Linked DNA regions of Callithrix jacchus. The protein of the gene in region 1 binds, or shares a complex with, the protein of each later gene. Links are inferred from orthologs where the notes say so. Each region holds a gene or a part of one and is shown on either strand. Other genes may lie near its edges.

Region 1 (4,240 bases):
ACCTCAATTGTATTATTTTCTCTTTTTTTGAGACAGAGTCTTGCTCTGTGGCCCAGCTTGGAGTGCAGTGGCATGATCTCTGCTCACTGCAACCTTCACCTCCTGGGTTCAAGCAATTCTCCTGCCTCAGCCTCCCAAGTAGCTGGGATTACAGGCACACACCATTATACACAGCTATTTTTTTGTATTTTTAGTAGAGATGTTTCACCATCTTTTTTTTTTTTTTTAAAGACAGGGTTTCACTGTATTGGCCAGGATGATCTCAATCTTCTGACCTTGTGATCTGCCTGCCTCGGCCTCCCAAAGTGCTGGGATTACAGGCGTGAGCCACCATGCCCAGCTACTCCGTAACTTTCAATGATTTTTAACCTAATCGTTAAAAGTAAGAGCTCTGGAATCAAACTGCCTGGGTATGACAAATCTCTATTTTTTTTTTGAGACGGAGTTTCACTCTTGTTATCCAGGCTGAAGTGCAATGGTGCGATCTCGGCTCACCGCAACCTCCGCCTCCTGGGTTCAGGCAATTCTCCTGCCTCAGCCTCCTGAGTAGCTGGGATTACAGGCACGCGCCACCATACCCAGCTAATTTTTTTTGTATTTTTAGTAGAGATGAGGTTTCATCATGTTGACCAGGAAGGTCTCGATCTCTTGACCTCATGATCCATCCGCCTCGGCCTCCCAAAGTGCTGGGATTACAGGCTTGAGCCACCACGCCTGGCCTTATTATTATTTTTTAAAGTTCAGACCCTCATCAAAAATACAAACGACAAACAAGTATCATCCATTAGTTTGTCCAACTTTGGAAAAAAACAGGTACCATTACATAAGATTGGGTTGAATTAAGTTTATCAGAAAGGTACCCTAGCTGGGTGCAGTAGTGCGCCTGTAGTCCCAGCTACTTGAGAGGCTGTGGTGGGAGGACTGTTCAAGCCCAGGAGTTGGAATCCAGCACAGGCAACATAGCGAGTCCCCATTTAAAAAAAAAAAAAGATGACTATGTCATAGCTTTGACCAGATCAGTAATAAGGACAGCAACAATAATATGTGCTGTTTCTTTTTTTAGCAGCATAGTCTCATTCGTATAAACAGCGATATTCAGGAAACTGGATACTGACATTTTCTTCTGTTCACTTTCTAATAATTGTGGGATCAAAAGTGAAAAATGCTGAAAAAGGACTGCTGCTTCTACTTGGTGGAAATGTTATTCAATGACTAACTTTTGTGATGTATAACAATCTCCCACTAATATAAATAAAACATCTAGAATAAATAACCAGAGTTAGAACCATTCCAAGACTATGTATACAGCATAACAAGGACTAGCAATAAAAACAAAAATAAAAACGACCTACACAATGAAAGCCAGATATTATACATTTAAAATACAGCCAAAAAAATTTTTTTTACTTGTTTTTGGAGAGCAACAAGTCATATTCAATCAATATTTAGGCACAGAATGTGCTGTTCCAGGAATGGACCATGATCTAGTTTCTTGCAGTAGCAGCCAATGGAACTAACACAATGCTACTTCTTTCACTGTTCAAACTCTTCCACTGCCTTAGGGAATCAACTACCCCATTTTACCATCAGAGATAAGCTTTGTTTTCGTAGCAGAGAACATTCATTCCAACTATAATGTCCTACCTTTTCTTCCTCATGAAGGAAAATGGATAAAAATTTTTAACCTTCAATAAACAATTCGTAAAGGTCTGACAAGCTTCATGATCACTAACATTCAAATTCATTTCCAAAACTGGAGTTATACAGTATTATTTCTGTGCAGGAGACTATACTTACTGTTCACAAGATTTATGAATAACTTCTGGAGGATGATATATGTTTTATAAGTTGTATTAACATATGAGTTGACAAACATTAAATTATGTTCCATTAGAAATTGACAGAGAAGTCAGAATGGGGATTAAGTCATCTGGAAGTCATTCATTGAGCTACAAGCCCTTTCAGGTTATAAAAAACGCTGTTCCCTAAATTGTCGTTCCTTCATTTTCTGTATTTATATACACACCCCTACTCCGTAAAGACCTCTCCACCTCTCCCACCATTTCCAACTATGAACAGTAACCTTTATCACATTGAACTAGAAATAAGAGACTCCCAGGATTTCTTCAAGATACACCCAGGATCAGAGCCCTCTGGGATTCAAAAAACTGTAGCTCTTTCACTGCAAATTTCCTTCAGAACCACCTTTCCCGTTCCTTCCCTGTGGACACCGCCGACCCGCGTTTGGGGGTGGGGTGGGAGACAGTCGGCGCAAGGCCGCCAGCAAGGTAGGCTCTTCCCTGCCCAACGTGCACTTCCGAGGCCGAAATGCCCGGGGCTCTTCCTGCAGCACCGGGCGCGGCCAACCCTCGCTTCCCCAGGGCAGGGCTCAGCTCAGGTCAATGCAACCAGCCCAGTCAGGCCCGGAGCGGGCCGCCGCGGCCCGCCAGTCCACAGCAACCTCTGGACCCCCGCCAGCGGGGATGGGCGTGGGCCCCAGCGGCCACCGCCCCGCCAACTCCAGCTCGGGAGAAGTGAGCCCCACCCGCTACGCCAGCCCCGGACCTACCTGGAGGGGAAAGGAGAGCTCCTGGACAGCGGCCACCGGCCCGAGGGCGGGCGCCTAGACGGCCGGAGCCCGTCCCAGCAACCCCAAGTATCCCTGGTGGGGCAGAGCGGGTAGAGACGCCGGAGGGCTGCCGCGGGCCACTGTGGCCCGTCGCGGGGGTCCCGAGGACCTGGCTCTCCCCTTAACACCAGGCCACTGCCGCCGCCGCCATTTTGCCTTCCACTCAATGTCGCCGCCGCCGCACTCCGTTGCAGGTTTCCCGGATGTGGGCATTTCCCGGCGTCGCTTGCGCGGGGGCCGAAGACTGGGGGCTTCTGCCCGCCCGGCAGCAGCTAGGGAGCGCGCAACCGAGGCCTCTGGGCCTCGTTGCGTGGCCCGCCGCTCAGAGCCTTCGTGAGCGTCGCCCCACGTCGCTCCCGCCTGCCCTGCCCAGAAGACTCGCCCGCGGCCGTGGGTTAAGGCTCTCTCCTGCCCAGCCCACTCGGTTGATTGAATCCTTTTTCCCATTGATCTCTTTCTCTGGACCGAGTAGGGATGCGCATTTCACGGAGCTTCGTTCTCCGAAGGGAACAACTGTTGAGTTGTTCTGGGAAACTTCGCTGTGGACCTCAAAATTCGAGTTTTGGCGCTTTGAAATAAAATTTTATTCTTGCTTAGCGTTCTTTCCCCGAACAAGCCCATGAGGTTCCAGCATCTGTATTTTCTGAATCAGCCAAGAAGAAGTTCTTGAGCCAGGACCGATTAGCAGAGTTTAGAGATCTGACCTGTCAACTGCATCCGTAGGAGGAGGTCGTTATTGCCTAACTGGAATAACGGTGACGGTGTGACAAGACAAGAGGTTTTACTTCTAGTAAAGTTGAATAGAAAATCTGGGATGGGATCACTGGGTTTGATGTGTAAGGTACTGTCCACCCTTTGTGAAGAGTGCCTTTGCCAGTTTTTCCTCTAGAAAATATAGTGTTTTCAAGTAACTTCTTTCGTAATTTTTCTACTATAGACTACAAAAAAATTACAGACGTCTTTTTCTGATGTTAAAGTAATAACTGGCTGCTTACTGTATTCAGAAATCCAAATGTGAAAACCTGTTAAAAGATTATGTTCCGCTGGCCATGGTGGCTCACGCTTGTAATCCCAGCACTTTGGGAGGCCAGGCAGGCGGATCACAAAGTCAGGAGTTCAAGACCAGCATGGCCAACACAGTGAAACCCCGTCTCTACTAAAAATACAAAAATTAGTTGGGCATGGTGGTGCACACCTGTAGTCCCAGCTACTCGGGAGGCTGAGGCAGGAGAATCTCTTGAATCAAGGAGGTAGAGGTTGCAGTGAGCCGCACCACTGCACTCCAGCTTAGCACTTTGGGACCCCAAGGCAAGTAGATTGCTTGAGTCCAGGAGTTCAAGACCAGCCTGGGCAATATAGTGAAACCCCATTTCAATAAAAATTGCAAACAATAATCAGGCTTGGTGGTACATGTCTGTAGTCCAGATACTTGGGAGACCGAGGTGGGAGAATCACTTGGGCCCAGGAAGTCAAGGCTGCAGTGAACCAGGGATCACACTACTGCACTCCGGCCTAAGTGAGAGTTAAATCTTGTCTCAAACATCTTTCCTAATCAATGGGATTAAAATGGAGAGAGCATGCTGGGCCAATTATGTAGAAAATAATTAGCTT
Region 2 (3,363 bases), on another chromosome or scaffold:
GTGCAGCATGCTTTGCTGGGTGGTACAACAGGGTAATGTCAGAGAGGACGGAGGAAGAGATTTCTGGCTGTTGCTATTTGTTAGAGGCTGACTTCTGATGTTGATGCAATAGACCCTGCAAAGCTCTGAGCTGGGCAGGAACATGGGCCACATAAGCAGCATGAAACACATAAGCTCCAGGACCTACTATCCCTGGGTTGGGGACGACATGGAATGATGCTCATATGAAGAAACTGTGAAGTCATCTCTCATTGGGTGGGGTGAAATTCCATAGAATGAGACAGTGCAGACAGCATCCCCGATCTAACTTGGGGATGTGGATTCCTAACGAATTGAGCAGTCATTTAAACTTAGCAAATGAAAGGAGTGGGCAAAAGAAAACATAAATGTTTCCTAGACTGGGGATGGGTGGGAAAGAAATGACTGGAAAAGGGAGAGTCAAATATCAGGGAAACACAGACCAAGTGAGGGGTGGAGAAGAGAACAAGAGTGAGAGGAGATTCTTTTTGAAAGGCCACTTTATTGATGGAGATAAAACTGAATGGAGCTCCCCACAGCCCTCCCCTCACTCACGTTAGTGGCTTCACTGGGCATCTGAGACCAGGGTGGCCTGAAACCCACAGAGGCTGGGTTGCTTAGCCCCCCAGCCTATCACACCACCCGCTCCATGTCAGGCAGCCACATAAAAACACGTCACAGTTCATGAAGATTCGTGGATGCACCTCTGAATCCCCCCCACAATGGTTTCTGTGCATTTTTTTTTAATATTGTACAAAATATGTTAACTAGGAAAAGTTAGCTGTTCTGTGACAAGTCCTATTAGGATTACCGTCCCCCAGGCATTACTTCTTATTGCAGTAAGACCTCTAAAAGGTGGCGCTGTACAAACAAAAAAATCTAAAGGATTTTAAGAAGAGCAGCAACACAATACTGCTTTAGTTCATTTAAATTTTCTTTCCCAAAAATACACTCCTAAATATACAAACTATACAATCTTATCATTTTAATGCTGGTTTGGTTTTTTTTCTGTTTCTGTTTTTTTGTGTGTTTTGTTTTTGTTCTTGTTTTTAATAATAACAATAGGACCCAAACTGAAAAATCGGTTCAACTTCAAACCAACAAAAGCACTAGAGGACTTGTGACTCAGTACCTTCATATAACACCACATAAATAACTTTAGCCACAGTCAATGTTCACAGCCTGGTCAGTAGAACGAAGGAAACACTTTTCTGGCGGTTAGACGTCATCTGCAGAGAGGGCTGGAATATTCATCCGAGGCCGGGTGAAAAACGCCATCTTCTCCCTATAAGAGAGGCCATCCCTTTAGAGCAGGGGTTTTCAACCTCACTCTACAGAGATTCTGGGCAGGATAATTCTTTGTCGTGGGAGTTGTCCTGTACATCACTGCAGAATGTTTAGCGATGTCCTCAGCCTCTACCCTCTAGATGCTAGCCGTATCCTTGACCTCCAGTTATGACAACCCAAAATGTATGCTCATTGCCAAATGTCCCAGGGAGAAGGGGAGAAATCACCCCTGGTTAAGAACCACTGCTTTAAAGGAACATTAGCATGAACGATGACCCAGAGGCTTCTCAGCCTTTCAAAGGACCCTCGGGCCACTTCCAATGTTTGTTTTAGATTCTCAATTTGTTAAAAAGTTAAGAGATGCCCAAAGACAGTTGTACAAATTATTGTACATTTTAAATTTTTGTATTTCACAAAGGAGTTTTTTTTTTTTTAAAGCACATGCACAAATGTGTACCTGAGAGGACATCAGAAGTCTAAACGCTAGGCACTCTGTGAATGGGAGGCCCAGGCCAAATGGCACTCAGGGTCCTCCAAGGATACACTAGGGTCCAGCATGGCAAGAAAGCAACTTCCTGAGATCCTAGCAGGTGGCAGGCAGAGCCAGGGAGGCCCAGCGAGCAACCATCACCCCCAGGCTTATTTATCAACTTCCACAATTAGCAGTGATGAAAATACTACAAGGGGCTGGGCTCACGCTATAATCCTAGCACTTTGGGAGGCTGAGGTGGGTGGATCACCTGAGGTTAGGAGTTCAAGGCCAGCCTGGCTATCATGGTGAAACACATCTTTAAAAAAATAATAATAAAGAAAGAAATAGAAAAAGAAAAAAAACACTATGAGGGAAGGCTAGAGCAGGCGGCTCATTCATTAAACAAGAGGATCTAACAAATTAGCTCAGTTGTGTGGGGACGGATAAAGACAGCCAGGGGAAGGGCACTGCAGAGCTCATGGATCGCCAGGGATGGCTTGGCGGAGGATGAACATCAGTTACAGAGAAAGCCAGTGCTCTGTGAGCAAGGGATGGGAGCAGTGAGACCAGAGACAGAAGGCTAAGGCCAGTGGGTTGGCTGAGAAAGGGAGAAGGGGGCTGCCGGGGCCCTCTGCTTACCTGAAAGACTGCACTTCTGGGGGCTCCTTACAGCTCTGGCCTCGGAGCCTGTGCACATCCTTGGCAGCTGCCCTCATCATCTTGTCTGTCTGAAGCTCACCCTTGTGCTCTGCTCGGTCCATCTGCTGGGCAAAGCAAGCAAGGCCCTGAGTCAGTGGAGGGGGCCTCCAGAAAGGGGCAGCCAAGGAGAACTTGCTATCACAACTGAGGGAGCTACTGTAGGGAAGGCATTCTCACTCCTGCTGCACATGGGATCCACTTCATTCAGAATGAGAATGGGAAGTGCTCAAATCATCTGTTTGAGTGATTCGATTTTTGGGGGCCAGGGAACTGAATACCTGCGTGGATCTGAGGAAGTAAGGAAATGAAGGGTGCCTGGTGAAATGTGTGCTACCTCTAATCCTCAGGCCACCTAGGAAGGTAGATGCTATTTCCTCTATTTTATGCACAGAACTGAGGCTCCAGCATAGTAAGAAATTTCTATAGCCGGGAGCTGTGGGTGGCTCACCCCTGTAATCCAAGAACTTTGGGAGGCCGAGGTGGGCGGATCACAAGGTCAGGAGTTCAAGACCAGCCTGACCAACATGGTGAAACCTCATCTCTACTAAAAATACAAAAATTAGCCAGGCGTGGTGGGGCACGCCTGTAATCCCAGCTACTCAGGAGGCTGAGGCAGGAGAATCACTTGAACCCGGCAGGTGGAGGTTGCAGTGAGCTGAGATCATGCCGCTGCACGCCAGCCTGAGTGACAGAGTGAGACTCTATCTCAAAAAAAAAAAAAAAAAAAAAAAAGAAAAGAAAGAAAGACAGAAAGAAAAGAAATTTCTTTAATGTCAGACTACTAAGAGGTGGAAACCCAATCCAAGCCATGCAGTGGTTCTTAAGAGGCTTGGATATAACATTATGCCCCTTCCTCCTAATGTAAACCTATGCAAACACTTTTGAGA
Region 3 (3,500 bases), on another chromosome or scaffold:
CCTGGCAGGAGAACTGAGTTCCTATGCCCATCCGGTAGCGCCAGCCCCAAACTGGATGAAGCATCAGTCGCCATTGGCAAAGAAGTAGCCTCCCTCCAGTCCAGAAGATGGGGAAGCAGCTTGAGGATGGCTGCTATGGAGCTCAGCCTCAGGGCAGGCTGGACTGTGGCCCTTCACCAGCCTCCTCACCAGTCTGGTGCTCAGCGTCCCCTCACCTTCTCTCTGACTCCTCAGCCATCTTCAGGGCCAACACCTCGGCCTCTAGCACCTTCTGCTCCATCAGGCGCTTCTCCTCCTCCGTGCGAATGGCTGTGGCCTTGATGCGTTGCATTTCCTGCTCGGCCTCTGCAGCCTTCTGGGCCAGAAGTTTTGCCTCCTCCTCGGTGATCTGGGCCTTTTCAGCCAACAGGTCAGCCGTCTCCTCGGATCGCATCTGGAAGGCACGGGGCTCTTAGCTAAAGTGGGATCATGTGCTATTCTCCCGCCCAGATCTGCCTTAAAAACAGAAATAGAACAAACCAGAGTCTTGGACTCCTGGGGCCCTGCTGCTGAGTGCCCCCCATGACCCTCTGACAAGAGGTGACAAGCCACATTCTCCAGCTTTTCAGAAGGGCCCTTCGGGCTGCACCCATGGGGAACAAAAAGAGCACCTCCTCTGAGTACCCACTTCAGCTCAGGCTTATGTGTCACGCGGAGAAAAACAACTTAAACTCTGTTCTTTCCCTTTAAATCAGTGGTTCGAACCAGAGGAGCTTTTTGTTCCCTGCAAGAGACTTGTAGCAGGCTGGGCATGGTGGCTCATGCCTGTAATCCTAGCACTTTGGGAGGCCAAGGCGGGCAGATCACTTGAGGTCAGGAGTTCAAGACCAGGCTGGCTAACATGGTAACACCCCGTTTCTACTAAAAGCACAAAAAAATTAGCCGAGTGTGGTGGCACGCGCCTGTGATCCCAGCTACTTGGGAGGCTGAGGCAGGAGAATCAGTTGAACCTGGGAGGCGGAGGTTGCAGTGAGCTGAGATCGTACCATTATACTCCAGCCTGGGCAACAAGAGCAAAATATCATCTCAAAAAAAAAAAAAAAAGAGACGTGGCAATGTCTGAAGATGCTTTGATTGTTACAAACGGAAGGTGAGGTGCTGCTACTGGCATCTAGCTCACAACAAAGGATAGTCAGTCCCAAATATCAGTAGTGCCCAGGCTATAAAGGCAACCTCGTGGTGAAAGTGGAATTTGGCTGCACATGAGCTAACCTAAATCTGCTTCTGCCAACACAGGTGGAAAGAAAAGCCAGTAACTTTTTTAAAAGCTGAAATAAAGTATATCAAAGCAAATGCTGGTAACTCATGGTCCTCAGGAGACTGAGCTCCAGAAAAGCCCAGGAAGTCCCCAGGTAGCCTCCTGGAACCCCGGTCCCTCAGAAATCACCAGTGCTTCATTGGCCATTGTTGCTTCTTCTTTCAGCTGCAGCAGCCTCCTCTCCAACTCATCCCTCGTGCGTTCAGCCTCCTCCCTCATCTGCTTCTCTCGAGCGAGGCGCTGCCGCTCCATCTGCAGGGGGTGAAGAAAAACAGTCATCAAACCACAGGGCTCAAGACCTAGGTGCCATAAGGGACCAAAGATGCCCCATCTCCAGAATCTCCCCATTTCCTAAAGGAAAGGGAACTTTTTCTTCCCTTTCCTTTAGGAAGCCAGGGTCATTCTTATTGCCCTGTAACCTTGTCCTTCTAAACCAGTTGCAGAGTGGAAAGTTGTGCCCCTTGAAAAAAAATTCTAACAGTGAATGAACAAACGAACAAACAAAAAAACAAGCCAAGCCTTGACCTGGATAGAAAGAGGCATTCTTATACACGGTGCACTGAAATGGCTACCTTGCCAATGATGCTTCTTATTGGCGGCTCTGGCCGGTGGCTGATGGGATGCAATGCAGGATCTCCTCTCTAAGACAGAGCCCCAGAAATAAGCAGCTTTCTCATCTGGTTAGGCAAGCCAGCTCACCATTTCTAATCCACGTGGACCCCTCTCACATCTCTGATTTCATCAACAATAGCTCCACTCTTGCCTCTGACCCACAGAGAAGATGGAATCATTCTGCATGATGCATCAACAGTTCACACATTGTATTTCACAGTGGGGAGCTGCAACGGCCACAGCACAGACTTGCACAGCCTCACGCAGAGACAACTCCTGAGCCAGGCCTATGACAGGAGGAAGCCAGGCGGGGAACACAGCCCCCTGTCCTTAAGGCAACAGTACAAAGCCACCACCACCTCCCTTGCCTTCTGGATCACTGCATTAATTGGACCACATGCTGAGCTTAATAAGGGGAACAAGCACAAAACAGTGCCATTCCTCTGTGATCTCAGGGTACTAACTGAGTTCAAAAAGCAGAATCCAGAAGTGACCACTGCACTATTTTCTGCCTTAAATAATTAATGCACATTTAATTACTTCTTGCTTCAATCTTATCCCACACTCTGGTCTTATAAGGTTTCTAAAACTGCTTCTTCTAAATCCTAAGCCAAAAAAATTTTATTTTATACACACACACACACACACACACACACACACACACACCCCACATCGGAGCTTGAAAGGATAATGCAAAGAGAAGCAATAAAACAGTAAAAGTTCTCCAGTTTTCTTCTTGCAAGTCAATGAATAGCATGGCAAATTTGTTCTCTAATTTCCATCATATTACAATTTCCATAAGGTGGATTACTGCATCTCTATAATTCAAAAGAAGGAATGAAGGAAAGAAGGAAGGGAAGGAGAGAGAAAGGAAAGGAGGGAGGGAGGGAGGGAGAGAAGAAGGGAGGAAGGAAGGATGGAAGGAAAGGCTCAGGCAGGCAAGGCGGGCCCAGCGGCTCATGCCTATAATCCTAGCACTTTAAGGGGCCGAGGTGGGAGGAATGCTTGAGCCCAGGAGTTTTGAGATCAGCCTGGATAACACAGCAAGACCTGATCTCTACAAAACAATTAAAATTAACTAAGTGTGGTAGCATGCACTTGCAGTCCCAGACACTTGAGGGGCCAAGGCAGAAGGATTGCTCGAGCCCGGGAGTTAGAGGTTACAGTGAGCTATGATGGCATCACTGCATTCCAGCCTGGATGACAAAACTTCTATATTAAAAAAAAAAAGAAGCCCAGGTAATCTCCTTCAGTTCCTGGCACTGTACTTTCCCTGAGACCGCTAGCCCAATATAAAGAACCTCCTATTCACAAAAGCAGTTTACTGCTTATAAAGACTGTAAGGTGTAATATACGGACCTTCATCTGAGATGGAGAAGGTGTATCATTAGTTTCACCTGATGGATGAGACAACTGAGGTATGGAAGGTAAGTCACTGACTTAGTCACTTTCTAAATTTCAGATCTGGCTCCAAGGTCAGTGTCTGTCCACCTGATCTGCTGTTGCCCAGATGCCAGGTTTGTGGCTCTGCTGTGTTGTACGCAGCACCAATCTTCAGTTTCTGCTATTCTCTGCCAGGGCCCACAGGCTA

The links. Proteins that work in one complex are often made in the same cells at the same time.
Region 2: the proteins of LATS1 (region 1) and WWC1 are in contact, whole or in part, in a crystal structure (PDB 6J68), measured with the Mus musculus proteins. The link is inferred for Callithrix jacchus from reciprocal best matches to the Homo sapiens genes LATS1 and WWC1. Residues at the interface, in NP_034820.1 of Mus musculus: Ala546, Glu547, Ala548, Pro549, Ser550, Tyr551, Gly553, Pro554, Pro555, Pro556, Pro557, Tyr558, Leu562, Leu563; in NP_740749.1 of Mus musculus: Asp17, Tyr23, Ile25, Asp26, His27, Arg30, Thr31, Thr32, Ser33, Trp34, Asp64, Val67, Tyr70, Ile72, Asp73, His74, Lys77, Thr78, Thr79, Gln80, Ile81.
Region 3: the proteins of LATS1 (region 1) and NF2 are in contact, whole or in part, in a crystal structure (PDB 7LWH), measured with the Homo sapiens proteins. The link is inferred for Callithrix jacchus from reciprocal best matches to the Homo sapiens genes LATS1 and NF2. Residues at the interface, in NP_004681.1 of Homo sapiens: Pro69, Lys70, Phe71, Gly72, His74, Ala77, Leu78, Glu80, Ile81, Arg82, Ser84, Leu85, Phe88, Ala89, Asn90; in NP_000259.1 of Homo sapiens: Pro135, Glu136, Ala137, Val139, Leu140, Tyr144, Asn175, Leu176, Tyr177, Gln178, Met179, Met183, Trp184, Arg187, Trp191, Glu206, Ile210, Asp213, Leu214, Glu215.

The regions. Positions count from the first base shown.
Region 1 is NC_133505.1:156,496,168-156,500,407, forward strand, and holds the start of LATS1 (serine/threonine-protein kinase LATS1), read right to left. Parts: upstream 2,801-4,240; 5' UTR 2,570-2,800; exon of another isoform or gene 2,224-2,569; intron 1-2,223. UniProt on the Homo sapiens protein: Negative regulator of YAP1 in the Hippo signaling pathway that plays a pivotal role in organ size control and tumor suppression by restricting proliferation and promoting apoptosis.
Region 2 is NC_133503.1:31,343,133-31,346,495, reverse strand, and holds the end of WWC1 (protein KIBRA), read right to left. Parts: intron 2,542-3,363; coding exon 2,417-2,541; intron 1,304-2,416; coding exon 1,237-1,303; 3' UTR 501-1,236; downstream 1-500. UniProt on the Homo sapiens protein: Regulator of the Hippo signaling pathway, also known as the Salvador-Warts-Hippo (SWH) pathway.
Region 3 is NC_133502.1:200,266,626-200,270,125, reverse strand, and holds part of NF2 (merlin), read right to left. Parts: intron 1,550-3,500; coding exon 1,427-1,549; intron 434-1,426; coding exon 216-433; intron 1-215. UniProt on the Homo sapiens protein: Probable regulator of the Hippo/SWH (Sav/Wts/Hpo) signaling pathway, a signaling pathway that plays a pivotal role in tumor suppression by restricting proliferation and promoting apoptosis.